2 linked regions of the Alligator mississippiensis genome follow. The protein of the gene in region 2 interacts with the protein of the main gene of each other region in a pairwise test. Links are inferred from orthologs where the notes say so. Each region holds a gene or a part of one and is shown on either strand. Other genes may lie near its edges.

Region 1 (7,040 bases), on a different chromosome or scaffold from region 2:
GCACTTTCCACACAGGTGCAACTGGGGTCTCCGTGGAAACTGGCCCAAGCCATGAGGGCAGGAGCAGCTGGGAAATAAGAATCCACAGCCAACCAGATCTGGCCCACAGGGTGGAGTTTGCCCGTCCCTGCAATAAAGACACTTAACTTTTCTGTCCTATTCTCTGCCTCAATGCCTGAGAAAATGAATGTTACCTACTTTACTAGACTGATAATAGGAAGGAAAACTTAACAAGATCTCTCATAACATCTTTGAGAAATATACCTGCATCTAGTTCATACATCTTTCAAATGCGTATATTAATATAACTTTTTAAACACGTTAAGAGAATATATACATAAAAATAGGAGAAACCGAAGCTCTAGGTAAATGAACCATGAATTCAGATACATAGGTGTGACCCAAATTAGACAGCTAATCAAAAATAAAACCATTTTACCATTAGTAAAAAATATTTGAAGTTTCCAATATTCTTCTTCTGCTAGAAATTTCAAGTCCTTCTGGCGTTCTTTCAACAGATCTTGTTTATCCAAAATCCACTGTAAACTAGGAGGGAAAAAAATAATTCACAAATATTATACAGTGACTTGTGAACAAATAAAGTATAGTTCATATCTGGGGATGAAACAGGCTGGTGTGCATCCCTTTAATTGAGTCTTGTAATGCTAGATACATTCTTGCAAAATGAATGCTCATTAGGGCTTTCAAAATCAGGCCCTTTGAGGAAAAATAATCACCAGAAATAAGAGGCCTTCTCAACGCTAAAAATGTCAAATGCATTAGTTATTAGTTAAAAATAAAGTCTGAGAGATATACTACATACAGATTTTATTTTAGATGCCACACATTTAAATTCAATATACCCAGTGCTAACGATACTTGGACACAGCTCATTCTATGCCAACTTTTCTATAGGGGAAATATATTTGATTCGCTGTGACTTTCTTTGCAGGAAAAGCTTTTAAATCTCCTTCTCCCCCTCTCTGTGGTGTAGATAAGGGATGTCAAATCTCTCTTGGATTTTATGGCTCAATCTGGCCTCTAGCAAGGCTTGTAGCATCTGCATCAGCTCAGGGAACCACAGCCATCATTGAAATATGTCCCTGGTCATACTCTGAAATACCTGCCAGAATTCAGTGGTAGCCCCTGTCTCTCCTTGCCCTGCCCCCAAATTCCCAATCCCTCCTGAAGCCCCATGGACCAGATTACATGTTTCTGCAGGTTGTATCTTTGCCACCTTGCACCTCGGTGCAGATTATTAGATACTAAGTAAAGACCAACACAAGCATTCCCCAAGACTTTCCTTTGACAGCCTTAACAACGCAACGGCTTTTTAAAAAGCAAAAACTGCAAGACAAGTTTTAAAAAGCTGGCTTTGCACCCACTGAGCAGCTGTGTTTTATAAATTCATAGATTGTTAGGGGCTGGAACGGACTTTGGAAGATCATCAGGTCCAGCCCCCCTGCACTTGGCAAGAAAGATACTTGGTCAGGTGCCCCCCGCAAGGTGACTGTCCAGTCTCCTCTTGACGATTTCCAGGGTAGGCGATTGTGGAATGAGCTCCCTCCAAAGGTGGTGCAGTCTGGACACCCTAACTTGTGAAGAAGTTTTTCCTAATGTTGAGCCAGAAATGGTCTTCTAAGAGTCTGTGGCCATTACTCTTGGTTCTCCCCAAAGGTGCTCTGGAGAACAGTTTTTCACTTGGTGTACTCCCCTGATAGCAGAAAGCTGCTACCAAGTCCCCTCCCAGCCTTCTCTTTTTTAAGCTGAAGAATCCCAGGTCCCTCAGCCTTTCCTTGTATGGCTTGCTGTGTAAGACTCTGATCAGATGGGTGGCTCTTCTTTGGACTCTCTCAGGCTTGTCCATGTCCTTGTTAAAGGGTGGTGCCCAGAACTGGATGCAGTACTCCAGCTGCAGTCTCACCAGTGCTGAGTAAAGCAGAAGAATCACTTCCTTGGTTTTGCTTGAGATGCATTGATTGATGCATGCCAGAGTATTGTTTCCCTTGCTGGCTCCAGCACCACGCTGCCGGCTCATATTCATACTGTGGTCTATTACTAGCCCTAGGTCCCTGTTATTTTTTCCCCCTTAGTATTACTACTTGAGTTCAGACCTTTGAGTTAGGTTTTGTATGCCAGACTTTGGTAAATATGCCAGACAGCCCCCAGGGAGGAGGAAGAGGTGGTTGCGACTGACTTGGAGAGCTGCTGCAGTCACAGATCCTGCATGTGTATTTGGTGCATGTTGGGGGAAGAGGGGAGCAGCTCATCTGTGTGTTATGCACCCTCCTGAAACCGACGTGAAACCCATCAGCTGCTGGTGCGCCTTCCAGTTTTCCCAACATGGGATTTCTTTTCTGGCCCACAGTCAGCTTTCTTCTCCCAAGCCAGGCAGCAAGAGAGAGAAAAATGAAAGGACTTCCAAAAGAGCAAGTAGGCAGAGGAAAACGACTGGCTGTTTCAAGACCCTGGTGACCCAACACGCAAAACATGCTCAGGCTTAGTCATCATAGAGAAGTGGACCTGCAGAGGTCATCGAGGCAGGGTCATCCCTACCAAAACCACCCCATTAGGAACAGGACCGGCTCCCCTGGGGTCACTCCCATGGGCAGCCCCCACAACCAGGGGCTACAGAAAGGCTGTTTTCAGACCCCCTGGCACTGACAGCAGGGACCAGCAACGTGGTGGGCGGGAATCGCCTTGCACCCCCATGACACTCACTCGCACGTGCGTTTAGGACCCCTCCCCCGCCCCCCGGGACGTTCCCCCAACGGCCGCCCCGCCTCCCCCCCGACAGCCCGGGGCCGCGTGCGCCCCGCAGGGGGAGGAGAGGGGGTCCCCACTCACTAGTGCGAGCTCTGCCAGAAGTTCCCCGCCATGGAGCGGGCTCGGGGGAGGCGGCTCTGCCCCCCCGGCTGACCAGCCCCGCCACCCCCACGCTGCCCCCCCCCGGCCGGAGCAGCTTCGCGAGCGGCAGCAGCGGTGGCGGCGGCAGGAGGAGGAAGGAGGCGGTCGCCGGGGTCCCGCGCCCTCACTCCGCCGACCGGCAACGCGCCCAGAGACAAGAGTTCCGCCGCCAGCGCGCGGGTTCCGCCGGACGGGGGACCAAGAGCGGGTGCACCGCGCTCGGCCCCGCCCCCGGCCCCGCCCCCTCCGCCTGGCCGCGGGTTGGGCTTTCGTCTGGGGACGGGGCTGAGACTGGGGAATTGTCAAAACTGGGACGGTGACGCTGGGATTTATGATGGGATTGGGATTGAAACTGGAGGATCGGAATTCAGGCTGGGATTGGGCCTGGGAGACTACAAATGGGAGACTTGGATTGGGATTAAAACTAGGGAATTGGGAGTCAGACTGGGTTTGCAACTGGGATTGAGACTAAAATTGGGTCTGGGGGACTAGAAATGGCAGACTGGTATTGGGATTGAAACGGGGATTGGGAGTCAGGCTGGGATTGAGACTGGAGTCTGGTCTTTGATTGGGACTGGGAAAGTGGGATTGAGTCTGGGGGACTAGAAATGGCGGATTGGGATTGAAACGGGGATTGGGAGTCAGGCTGGGATTGGAACTGGGAGACTGGGTTTGGGTCTGGGGGTCTAGAAATGGGAGCCTGGGACTGGGGGACTGGGATTCGTGCCAGCTCTGAGTTGGAGTGGGCTGTTGACCCATCCCAGGGGATCTGGGCAGTGATGCCCCAGGGAGTTTTCTCCGTGTACATCTGACCATCATCACATCTACCCATCAGCACTGCTGCCAGGCCAGGCAGGGCCCCTGTAGCCCTGATGTAAAGTTGCTTGTTGCTGGCCCTTCTGCTGGGCTGAAGCCCAAGTAACAATCTGTGCCGGTGTGGGGGGTGAAAGTGATGTAAGTGTGTAAGAGCTAATACAAGACTCACCTGTTGGAAACCTGTGCTGCGTGTGCTGCTATGAATGTTCAGTGTGTTGTAGCAGTGTAAATCAGGGGTGTTGGACCCACAGAGCTAGATCTGGTGCTGTTTGGGCTCTAGTGCTGCAGCTCTCACTGGTTTAACCAGTTGCCTGGGTGAGAGCAGCAAAACGAGCCCCAGCAGCACAGTGAGAAGTCCAGCAATGTAGTTTGTTCCTGTGGTGGCAGCTAAGCTTTCACGATGCCAGGCCACTTCGCCGCAGATCCCAAATGAGCTGGAGCAGGCACCAAGCGTGCTGGATCTGGCATGGGGATGGATGGGCATGATTCAGTCTGTAGGGTGAGCCCTGTACCATTCATCCAGCTCATGAAGCCAGGTGAGTTTGACACTCCCTGGAATAAGCAGTTAAATTTTGGGCAGGAAGCAGCTGGCACTCTTGCTTTCTCACTCCAGCCTTTCCTGCCAACTAGTTATACTGACAGCCTCTCAGTGCCTGATCAACCTTCAGAGGGGTTGAACTCTACCATAAAGGTAACAGGTACTCTAATAGGACGGAATTCCTTGTTTCTCTGCTGTTGTCTTTTACGGAACCAGCCACCGGGCTGGACTCCATTAAATTCCAGATACTGGACAATTTAATGACAACTGTGAGTGAAGGAGGACACCTTCTCCCTCTGCATGGGAAGGGATAAAGATGCAACAGGAAAAATGGGAGAGGGGTTTGTACCAGTTGAACAGTAGCCTACAGCTGTGGTTCTTAACCCTTTGAGACTTGAAGGATCCCTCCATAACTTCTGTGAATTGAGTGGCACCCATTTCAAAAACTAATTTACTTCATTTATAGCTCTTACCTGCTTGAAGAGGGGCTGTGAAGAAAGAGGAGTAGCCAGCAGGGAAGAACCTGTGTTGCAGTGAGTGGGTGGAGGAGTCACTGCTGATGAGCCTGCACTCATCTCTCTGGAGCCTGTGTTTATCCCCCGTTCTGCGTCACCCTTCAAAGGCTACTGTGGCACTCTGATTGAGAATCACTGCCCTAGAAAAATAGAGCAGCCTGAAATATGTGCAATGTGTGTGTGTCCAGGGCATACTTAGCTATCTACAGGCAGACAATAGGAAATTCTAGGGAAATCCCTGTGCTCTGGCCCCCAACTCAGGGTACACTGTCTGTGCCTTCATCAGCTGGCAGTCTTAACCCTGTGGAGATGTTTACCTGGGCAATGGAAGAGGAGGGAAAGGAGCCACTTCCCTTTTGCCAAAAGCCAAGTGGCATGGGCATTTGCCCACAAAATGGGATACTTGCATGCCAGGTTTCACTGAACCTGAGCGGAGGTTAAAGCCATTTCTTCCACTTCCCAGAAAAATGCTCTTGCCACTAGGCCGGATTGAGGGTATCCTGCATTCATCCTGTTGAGACTGAGAGACAGGAAGGGAAGGAATTAAAAAGTCCTGGGGCTAGAACAGTAAATGGGAGGGAGCAAAACTTTGTATCTTGTGAGGCAGCCACTACAATAATTGTGAAGCCGTGGTGGTGCTCCCAATGGTGTTTATACATTTTATCCCAGGACTACTGGATGCATGAACAGCATTGGGAATAAGGAACAGAACCAAGGGCACCTTCCTTCCCCATATCATACTTCTCCCTTGCTCTCCTTGCTGAAGGCTGAGTGGTTTGGTTTGGTTTGATTTGGTTTGGTTTGGTTTGGTTTGGAGATTTTTATGACAGTTTGACCAGCCTAACTGATGACAAATTCTTGGGACACATTATTTGAGATGTCCTGTGCAACTACTTTGAGGAAAGGGCATAATGGTTTAGATAGGCTTTTGGGGATGTTCTAGCTATGAAGTGTTGGTTTTATGGATTTTAAATACAGTGGTGCATGTCAGTTTACTGACAGGATCTTGTGCAGTTGATCAGCAGGATTTATTGTGCATGCTGTGTGCACTTTCATTCATTTTAAATATCAGGTATCTTTTAGTATATGTCCAGTATGCATGTCTGGGCCTCCAGGTAAAGTGGGCTTATTGTTGACATGCTATGTAGAACCTCTTCAGATTCCCATGCATTCTGCAAACAAAGATGCACAGATGGATGTGTGGAAATAAATTTATTTTATAATTAAACAATATCTGACTTGGAGTGGTACCAGAACAAACAGTGCCAGGAGTAGAAAACCTGGAACATTTAAAATATATTGTGAACAAGCAGTGTGGATTAAATTAAAGGGTAAGGGAGATTTTACATAAGAACTTGGAGGACAGGTACACAAAGGTGAACAGCATCTGTGGGGCTATGTGGGAACATTGGGCCTTGGTGGTGGGGCCTTGGTTTGAGAGGGTGCTGAAGGTCATTTCCCTGCCAGACTGGAATGAGCTGTGACACAGGGTCCAACTAGTGAATGTTTGCTCCCAGTCAGGTGAGTTTTCAAAAGTCTGGAAAAGCTTCTGGCTACCATGGTGCTGGGTGGGAAAAAGTAGAAGGTGAGTGGCAGCTTTGGAACATGTTCATCAACAACCTTGCCTCTTCATAATGGCCACGAACTATGGCTGAATCTTCATGTTTATTGCATTGTGCTCTCTGTCACAGAAGGGTTTTGCTCAGTCACTTATAATAAAAAAGCAAACAGTGATGTCTGCCATTTCCTTTGCAGCTTTGTTGGTAGCCTGAGTGTTCTCAGCAATAGAGCTGGGCAGGCTCAGGGAGTTCAGCTCAGTCTTTGTGTAGGATCTTACTCCAGCTCCTTTGAAATGAAAAACTCCTGGCTGTCAGGCACAACCTCTTGATAGGAATCATCAGTCCTGCTTTCATCAGTGTCCCCTTCTGTGAGGATGTCTGTGCTTGAGATAAAATGTGTGTCTGTGCTGACTTCCTGTAAAAAATCTTGTTCAACTAGCTTTATACTATGGACTGATCTCTGGACCACAGACAGAGGCACACAACATCACTCCAGCGTAAAGTTACTATTGGTTCCAAAGAGAATAACATCTCTGAAGCAACTCATTGGTTACACCTGTGCAAGTTAAGTCATGTGCACACCCTTCTTTTTATATTAATGCAACCTTGTTTACACCAGTGTAAACTGCCTATGTAGGTAAACTCTTGAGTTTCTTAACAATAATGGACCTGATTCTCTTCTTTCTTAGTTTTGTACAGATGTAA
Region 2 (7,000 bases):
CAGATCCGATTACCAAAATGTAGCCGTGCAGCTTGGAGAGCAGTGTCTGGCTGGTAAGTCTGTTGCGTGTGAAGAGGCATTGGGGGGAGGCGGGGGGGGGGCAGGCAGATCATTGCCCCCACAGTGAGGGTGGGAGTGGAGCTGGGACAGGTCATGCACAGCCAGGGTGGGGCACAGGATGAAGCCATGAGCAGCTTGTCCGGGGGGTAGCTCCTGGAACTGCACGCACCCTATGAGGGCATGGCGGGGGGTAGTGGTGCCCCCAGATCTGCATGGGGCAAAGGTGAGCTACCATTGTGGGCTGGGAGTGGTGCAAAGCTCTTCCTGGAAGAGTCCTGGGCTACACTGTGCTCAGGGCTGGCAGCAGTGGTGCTGGGAGGGTAGCTATGGGGGGGCTGCAGTCACCCCTAAGTTTGCGATAGTCCCCAGTTCCAGCACCACTGGCGCCTGCCCCAAGCACAGCCCGGCCCAACCCCCCTGCTGGGAACAGCCTGGTGCCACCCCTGGCCCCAGCCCTCAGCAGCAGCCTGCCCTTGCCCCCCACAGATGTCGGGGCACATGCCCCCAACGCCCTCCTGGGTTGTGTGCAACAGGAGCTGCCCTTCCCAGAGGAGTCACTCTCTGTCCCTTGCCCTAGCCACACTCCTTCCCTCACCCCAGGGATCTTGATTTCCCCCACCCCTCTTCCCTCACAACAGACTTACTAGCTCGATTTGGCTGCTCTCCAAACTGCCAGGCTGTGCTCCTGGCTGCCTGCATGCTGCACTGTGGCTGTGCGCATACACAGGGCATTTATTTGCTACCTTATCAGCCACATCAGGCAAAAAAACCAACTGCCAATACAGTCAATTTTCCTTATATCGGTGCCGATCCGCTATGGGACCAATGTATCAGTGCACCTCTAATAATTATATTTATACCATTAATGCATTACAGTTAACATTTAACATTTTTTGACACATGGTTTGTGTTTGCTAGGGTGGAGTTAAATGAATTATGTTTTCAAATTACATTGGCCGAGTACTTGCATGATTTATTGGTACTAGAGCACGAGTCCCTCAGCCCAATGTGTCCATCCTGCTGTACCAGCGTTGTATGACCTTCAACCCAACCCACAGGCATGTGTTATTAGTTAAATGGTTAACCAATATAGTCAGAAGAGTCTAAACAGCTAATTTTTAAAGTGATATTTACATCCCTAGAGCTTGCCCAGCACTGAAGCGCAGCTGTCTCTGAGGCAGGATGCAGCGCTCAGCCATTGCAGAGCAACACTGAATGTTAAAGGTGGAAAGTGAATGAGATCAAAACTGTGCAGGTGACGGGGAGAAGTTCACTGTTTTTTAAGTTGTACATGTTGCTTGGCTCTGACAGTCTGGCTTTGCACGTGGAAATCAAAGCAGCTTCAAGTAAGAAAGCCTGACATGCTGCAAGACGCTTGTTGATCTGTAAGGGGGTGACTCTGAAGCACTTGTCTGAGCAAAGCAGAACCTCCAGGGACCTGAGGTGGGGGGCGGGGCTGAAAAATTAGAAGGGGAAGAATAAGGAAGCCAGTGTCATCTCTCAGCGCAGCTTTGGGCTCCTCTACAATTGCCTGCAGCGTCCAAGCAAGACGATTCCCCCATCTGTCTCGACTCTGCCCAGTCCCCCTACGAAGCACCGAACACCCTGCATTACCCATCTTTCAGACAAGGGCAAGGATGGAAGGAAGTGAGGGGGACCGCACACGTCCCCAAACTGCAGCGGGGGAGAGCAGGAAACTGTGAGGCCCACCACAAACATCTATGCCCCTTAGAAGGGGGGACACAGAGCACAGCCGCCGACTGCTGGAGACGAACATGCTGCAGAGGGGAGTGAGACGGAGGGTGGCAGGGTCACAACCAGCACCCCGCAGCGGCCGCGGGCACTGCCCGGAGCCGTGGGGAGGAGACAGGCTGGGACGAGGGTCACAGGCAGCAGCAGGGACAGCGCGGCAGCGCTGGGACCGGGGGGGGGGGGGAGGGCCCACCGCGTCCCGCGTCCCAGGGGCGACTTTTGCCCCGGGCACCGCGCCCGCCCCCTTGGGCGGGGCACGGGACAGGGGCTCACCGGCCGCGCACTCACCTGCGGCCGCGCGAGCCCCAGCCCCGGCCCGGCCCGGCCCGGCCCGCCCGCTCCTCCCTGCACGGACGCCGAGCCTGGGCCCAGCGCCGGAAGTGACGGACTGGCTCGGGGCCCGGAAGCCTCCGCTACGTTGCCGGAAGTGCGTTTCCTCCGCTGCAGCCAGGAGACGCGGGCCAAAGCAGGAGGCGCGGGAGGATCATAGCGGCTCCCACGCGCGGGCCGCGGCCGCAGCGACCAGGGTAAAGCAGGCGGGAGACGAGGCGCGATGACCAGGCCGCGGCCAGTCCCCAGCCGGAAGTGTGCCTTTTCCGACCGGAAATAAGCCTTCCCCGACCGGAACTCAGTCCTCTCTCCTCCCCGCCTGTCAAAGGCCCCTCAGTAGAATATACCAAACGCACCGGCTGCGCCCCGAGCCGTCCTGGAAGGTACCACACGCCGCCGCCCCGACCCAACTACGACACCAGGTGCACACACGCCGGGCCTGCGTCCCCCACCCTCCTCCATGCCTGGGCTGTACGGAATACACTGATTTCCCGCACGTACCCCCAGCATCGCGGGCCGTACCATCGCGCCCCGCCCCTCTTAGTGATCCGTACCATTCATTCCTTCGACCCCCTCTTTCGGGCCGTACCACATGCGCGGGCCCCGCCCACCTGCTGGAGAGGACCAAATCCCATCGCCTCTCTGTGGACCGTACCAAAATGAGCAACCTCCCATCCAGACTTGAAGCCACCCCGCCCCCTTTCCCTTGTGGAACCGCCCAAATCACGGGTCCCGCCCCCCCCGCTCCTAAAGGCATCCACGTGGAACGTACCAAGTACAGCGAGCGCCTCGGCCCCTCCTGGGACGGACCAAGTTAGCGCCCGGGGGACGCGGCGGCGGCCCGCAACGGGGACTTTGCAGTATCATCCCGGGCAGCCGTCATCCCCCCGCCCCCTTTTGGAGCGTACCAAGATGAGCCCCGCCCCCCACGATGTTGTACGTGCTGGGGGGTAATTGACGCCTCAACAAGGGGGGAGGGGATGTCCCCAAAAGGGGCGGGGGATGCAGTACCTGGGGTGGTGTCCGCATTGGGGGCGGGGGGATGCAGTGCCTTTTGCCCTCTTTCCTGCAAAAAAAAATCCCTCTGGAAAAAAAGAGAGGGAGGCGTGGGCTGGGGGGTTCTGCTGTAATTGGCCCGGGGGGCGCTGTGGGGTGAGAGGTGGAAGATTCAGGGGAACCCAGTGCCTCCCTACTCAGCCTGGCACCAGCGAGCAGGTGCTCGCCCTCATTGCAGTTGTCGTGGGTGGTGCAGCACTTGAACACCATGTACTACCCATCATTGAACTCCCAGGTCCCCTTGCATATCTCGCTGGCATAGCGCAGCCCATTACCTTCAGGCCCACCTGGTTGTCTGCTGCCAGCCCTGAGGGAGGGAAGCAGGGCTGAGCTCTGGGCACGTGGCTGCCCTCTGCCACCCCCCTTCCCTGCTGTGGGGCAGGCCTGAGGAGACGGGCAGGAGGTGGCTGTGGTGGGACACGGGATGCCCTTTGGGCAGGATAGGACAGAACAAGGCAGGAGAGGCTGGTCAGGAGCAGCTGTGGGCACGTACCTTGTGGGGGTTGTTACTCTCCTGCTCTTGGGGCCAAGATGGGATGAGGTTTCACTTGGTCAGCTACTGGGATCAGCATCAGCTGGCAGGTGAGAAGATAATGTTGGGAGAAAAAGGGAGGGGCTGTTGCCTTTGGCTGCCAAGGGGGAGAAGGCGCTGCAGCCAGAGCTACTGAGGGAAACAAGAACAGGACAGCAAGACACCTCAGTCCTTATGGGTCATGATGAAGATGGAGAGGCGGGATCCGGAGCATTCAGGCACACAGTTTGTCTCAGGAGGTACACAGGGCCCAGAGCATTGGCTAGAGAGAGACATGAGATGAGCATGTGTCACACCATGGCCACCACACCAAACCACCTGCCAGCCCTGATCCCTTGTGTTGGCGGAGGCGTAGCAGAGCAGCTCTGCACTTGGGGTAACCGCAGGCTCCTGGGACAGAGTGGGTTGGTGACATGTGGATTGTGGCTGCTGCAGCAGTGGCTATTTGCGCCACCCCCACATGGAAACAGATTGCCCCCCTCAGTTATGCTACTTCCCAGCGGGCTTGCTTTGAGCATCACTCACCTCAGCCTCCCTTACTTCAATCTGCCCCTGGCCTGAGGGCAGGATGAGTGTCTGGCTAATGACAAGCAAGGAGCATAGGTGCTGACATATTTTTGCCAGGGAGCCTAAGATGATGCCCCCACCACCATCACCGGGCAGCATAGCTGGAGCAGAGCCGAGCAGAGTCCACGGTGGGGGGCAAATGCCGGCTGCCCACTGCAGGCTTGGGACTGCCTCCCCTGCTGTCCTCGCCCTGGGAGCCCTGTGCCAGCCACGCTGCCATGGGGAGACAATTCCTGCCCTCCCTACCTCAAAAGCAGGACAAGCCCTGTGTGTTTCACGTCTGAGTGCAGCTCCTGCTGATAGGACTTACCTACAAGCACAAAACAGAACAGGGCACATGCAGTAAGGAGCAGGGCTCAGGCCATGCTGGGCTCCTCTGGGTCAAAGGCAGGTGCTGGGGCAGGGTAGGAGAGAGCTTCCAGCTGGTAGAAACTGCAGTCTGAAGTGAGAGGAGAGACAGCCATGGACGAACTTTATCCTCCTGGAATACCCTAGGAGTTGGCACCCACAGGTAACTTCTTGGGAATGTGGGTAGACAGAGGTGACTGAGCAGAGACTGAGCAAGAGCTGCCCACACAGAGAACAGTTCCTGCCTAGAAGGAATCCCCCCAGGCATGGAGTCAGTAGCATGGGCTGGGAGTCAGGACACCTGGGCTCTATGCCCAGCCCTGACAAAAAACATGAGCTCCAGGAGATCAAAGCTGAAGGACCGGGGGGGGGGGGGGGGGGGAAGGACTCCTGGTTTCTGTCCTTGGCTTTGGGAGGGGAGTGGGGCCTAAAGTCAGGACAGATTTGTTCCAGTTAGACTAGGAACCCAGGAGGGAGGTCCAGTAGAGGTTCTCATCCTCTTGTGGGGAAAATGACAATTCTGCCTTGTCCCATGAGGGAGTCACATGGGGTTACCCTCTCCCCAGGGCTGTCATCAAACTTTCAACTCAGGGCTCATTCATTTGGGACTAAGGCAGCCTGTCCCATTTGCTCTTAGCAGTACGGAGTCTTTGACAACAGAGCAGGCCTGAAGGTAGCCTGGGGTAGTGGGTAACATGGGGTAGTGACACAGACCACCGGAAAAACGTCAAAGTGTGTGAGTTTCTGTAGCATTGTCCCATACAAGATGGAAGAGGCCTTGCTTTGCTGTGTGCTCACCATGACTCTACCCTTCTATACATCTCTCCACTAGCCAGATATGTTCTGCCCTCCCGAGGCACAGCTGAGTCCAGGACTCATCTGGACACCAGCAAAGATTCTGGTTCTCTTGAGCTGGCTGTGCTCCAGCAGGATCTCCTTGCTGCATCAGTTGTGGAGAACAAGCTTTGTAAAGCAATGTTAAGTAACCTCTGTGTGGATCTGCTTCCTGTGAGGAATGGGGATATTGCTGTGTCTGAACAGAACAAAGTTGAGATGAGCTCCAGGTAGCCAAGAATGGGTGATATCAGGGCCAGGAGACTGAGGTGGGACAGAGAAATGTAATTGCATCCTGGTGAGTGTGCACACCTACCAGGATTATAGGCCCTTCCAGTACCTTGCATTGCACCAAGCACCAACTTCAGAAAACCAAGGGAAACAGATCTTATACATGCTACCCAGCCTCTCTCCTTTCCCTGCAGCTGCCAGTAGCTACTTGGAATTGCCTGCAAGCCTTCCTGCCACATTTTCTACAATAGGTGTGGCTGTCCCTTTGCTGTGCGGCCTGTGAGGAGCAGGTGGCCATTGGTGGTAATGGTGGGTTATCACTGTGAAGAGCCCAATGTCCGATGACATTGTGGATATAGAGCTGGAGCAGTTGTTCAGTTAACCAGCTGGGGTGCTTTCTCTGCAGACCAGGCTTCATACTTCCCTGTAGGGCAGGTGTTGGCAGCTCCAGGTTAGTGCAGTGCAAAGCCACAGTGTGGTTGATGGTGACATGAGAAACAGTAGTCCCAGAGGGCAGTGGAGGTTGTGAGCCCTGGAATGTGCAACACCTCTTCATTTTTGGGCAGGTCCAAACCCCATTGGTTTGGCCGAAGATCTTTGCTAGCACACCTCTATTTTTTTCTTCCGCTTCAACCCACAAGACCCCATTCTCTTCCCAGGGAGGAGAAGAGAACCCAATTGTGGCTCCCAGCCTACTGCTCTGATCCAGATTACTTCCCTCCTTTCCCCGTGCTAGAGACTGAACCCAGTAACTGCTTCATTTGGGGAAAAAAAAAAGATGCACCGTGCTTTTTTTTTTTGTGGGGGTGGGGTATCTTTGTGTCTTAGGTGGCTCCTCACAGAGACACAGACATCACTTTAAGGGGCGATTACAATGTCTCCAACACTCATTGATCCACCCGAGCAGAAGGGAGGGGCCTGTACTATGCCCAGTTCTAGGAAAGAAGTGAGGCCCAGTGGGCTCAAGCAGGAGCGGGGCAGGGAGGAAGACTGAGGCAGAATTCCCTGTGTGGCTAGAGACAGGGCTGTGTGTGTCCCTCCTCCCACTCTGCCTTCCCTTCAAGACAGTTAGCTGGTGTGCAGAGACTGTCACCTGGAGATGCCCCATGTCAACTGCATCTCTGGAATCTTCAAATGCAATACCAGGGAAGAAGAGAAGTTCGTGTTCATTGTCATCAGTCACAATGAGGGGCTAACTGTTGTTGACCTTTCTGTTCTCCCCACCTATCTGCACCAAATCCTTTTCTTCTCTGGGGAAAAGTGATGCTTGGCTGTCACCCTTGTGATCAA

The links.
Region 1: the proteins of TRIM39 (region 2) and CCNC interact in binary tests that used the Homo sapiens proteins (3 or more experiments, as listed by UniProt). The two-hybrid records come from large-scale screens. The link is inferred for Alligator mississippiensis from reciprocal best matches to the Homo sapiens genes TRIM39 and CCNC.

The regions. Positions count from the first base shown.
Region 1 is NC_081824.1:85,518,336-85,525,375, forward strand, and holds the start of CCNC (cyclin-C), read right to left. Parts: upstream 3,004-7,040; 5' UTR 2,880-3,003; coding exon 2,848-2,879; intron 547-2,847; coding exon 440-546; intron 1-439. UniProt on the Homo sapiens protein: Component of the Mediator complex, a coactivator involved in regulated gene transcription of nearly all RNA polymerase II-dependent genes.
Region 2 is NC_081834.1:53,845,876-53,852,875, forward strand, and holds the start of TRIM39 (E3 ubiquitin-protein ligase TRIM39), read right to left. Parts: upstream 3,008-7,000; 5' UTR 2,915-3,007; intron 2,819-2,914; exon of another isoform or gene 2,697-2,818; intron 2,626-2,696; exon of another isoform or gene 2,101-2,625; intron 1-2,100.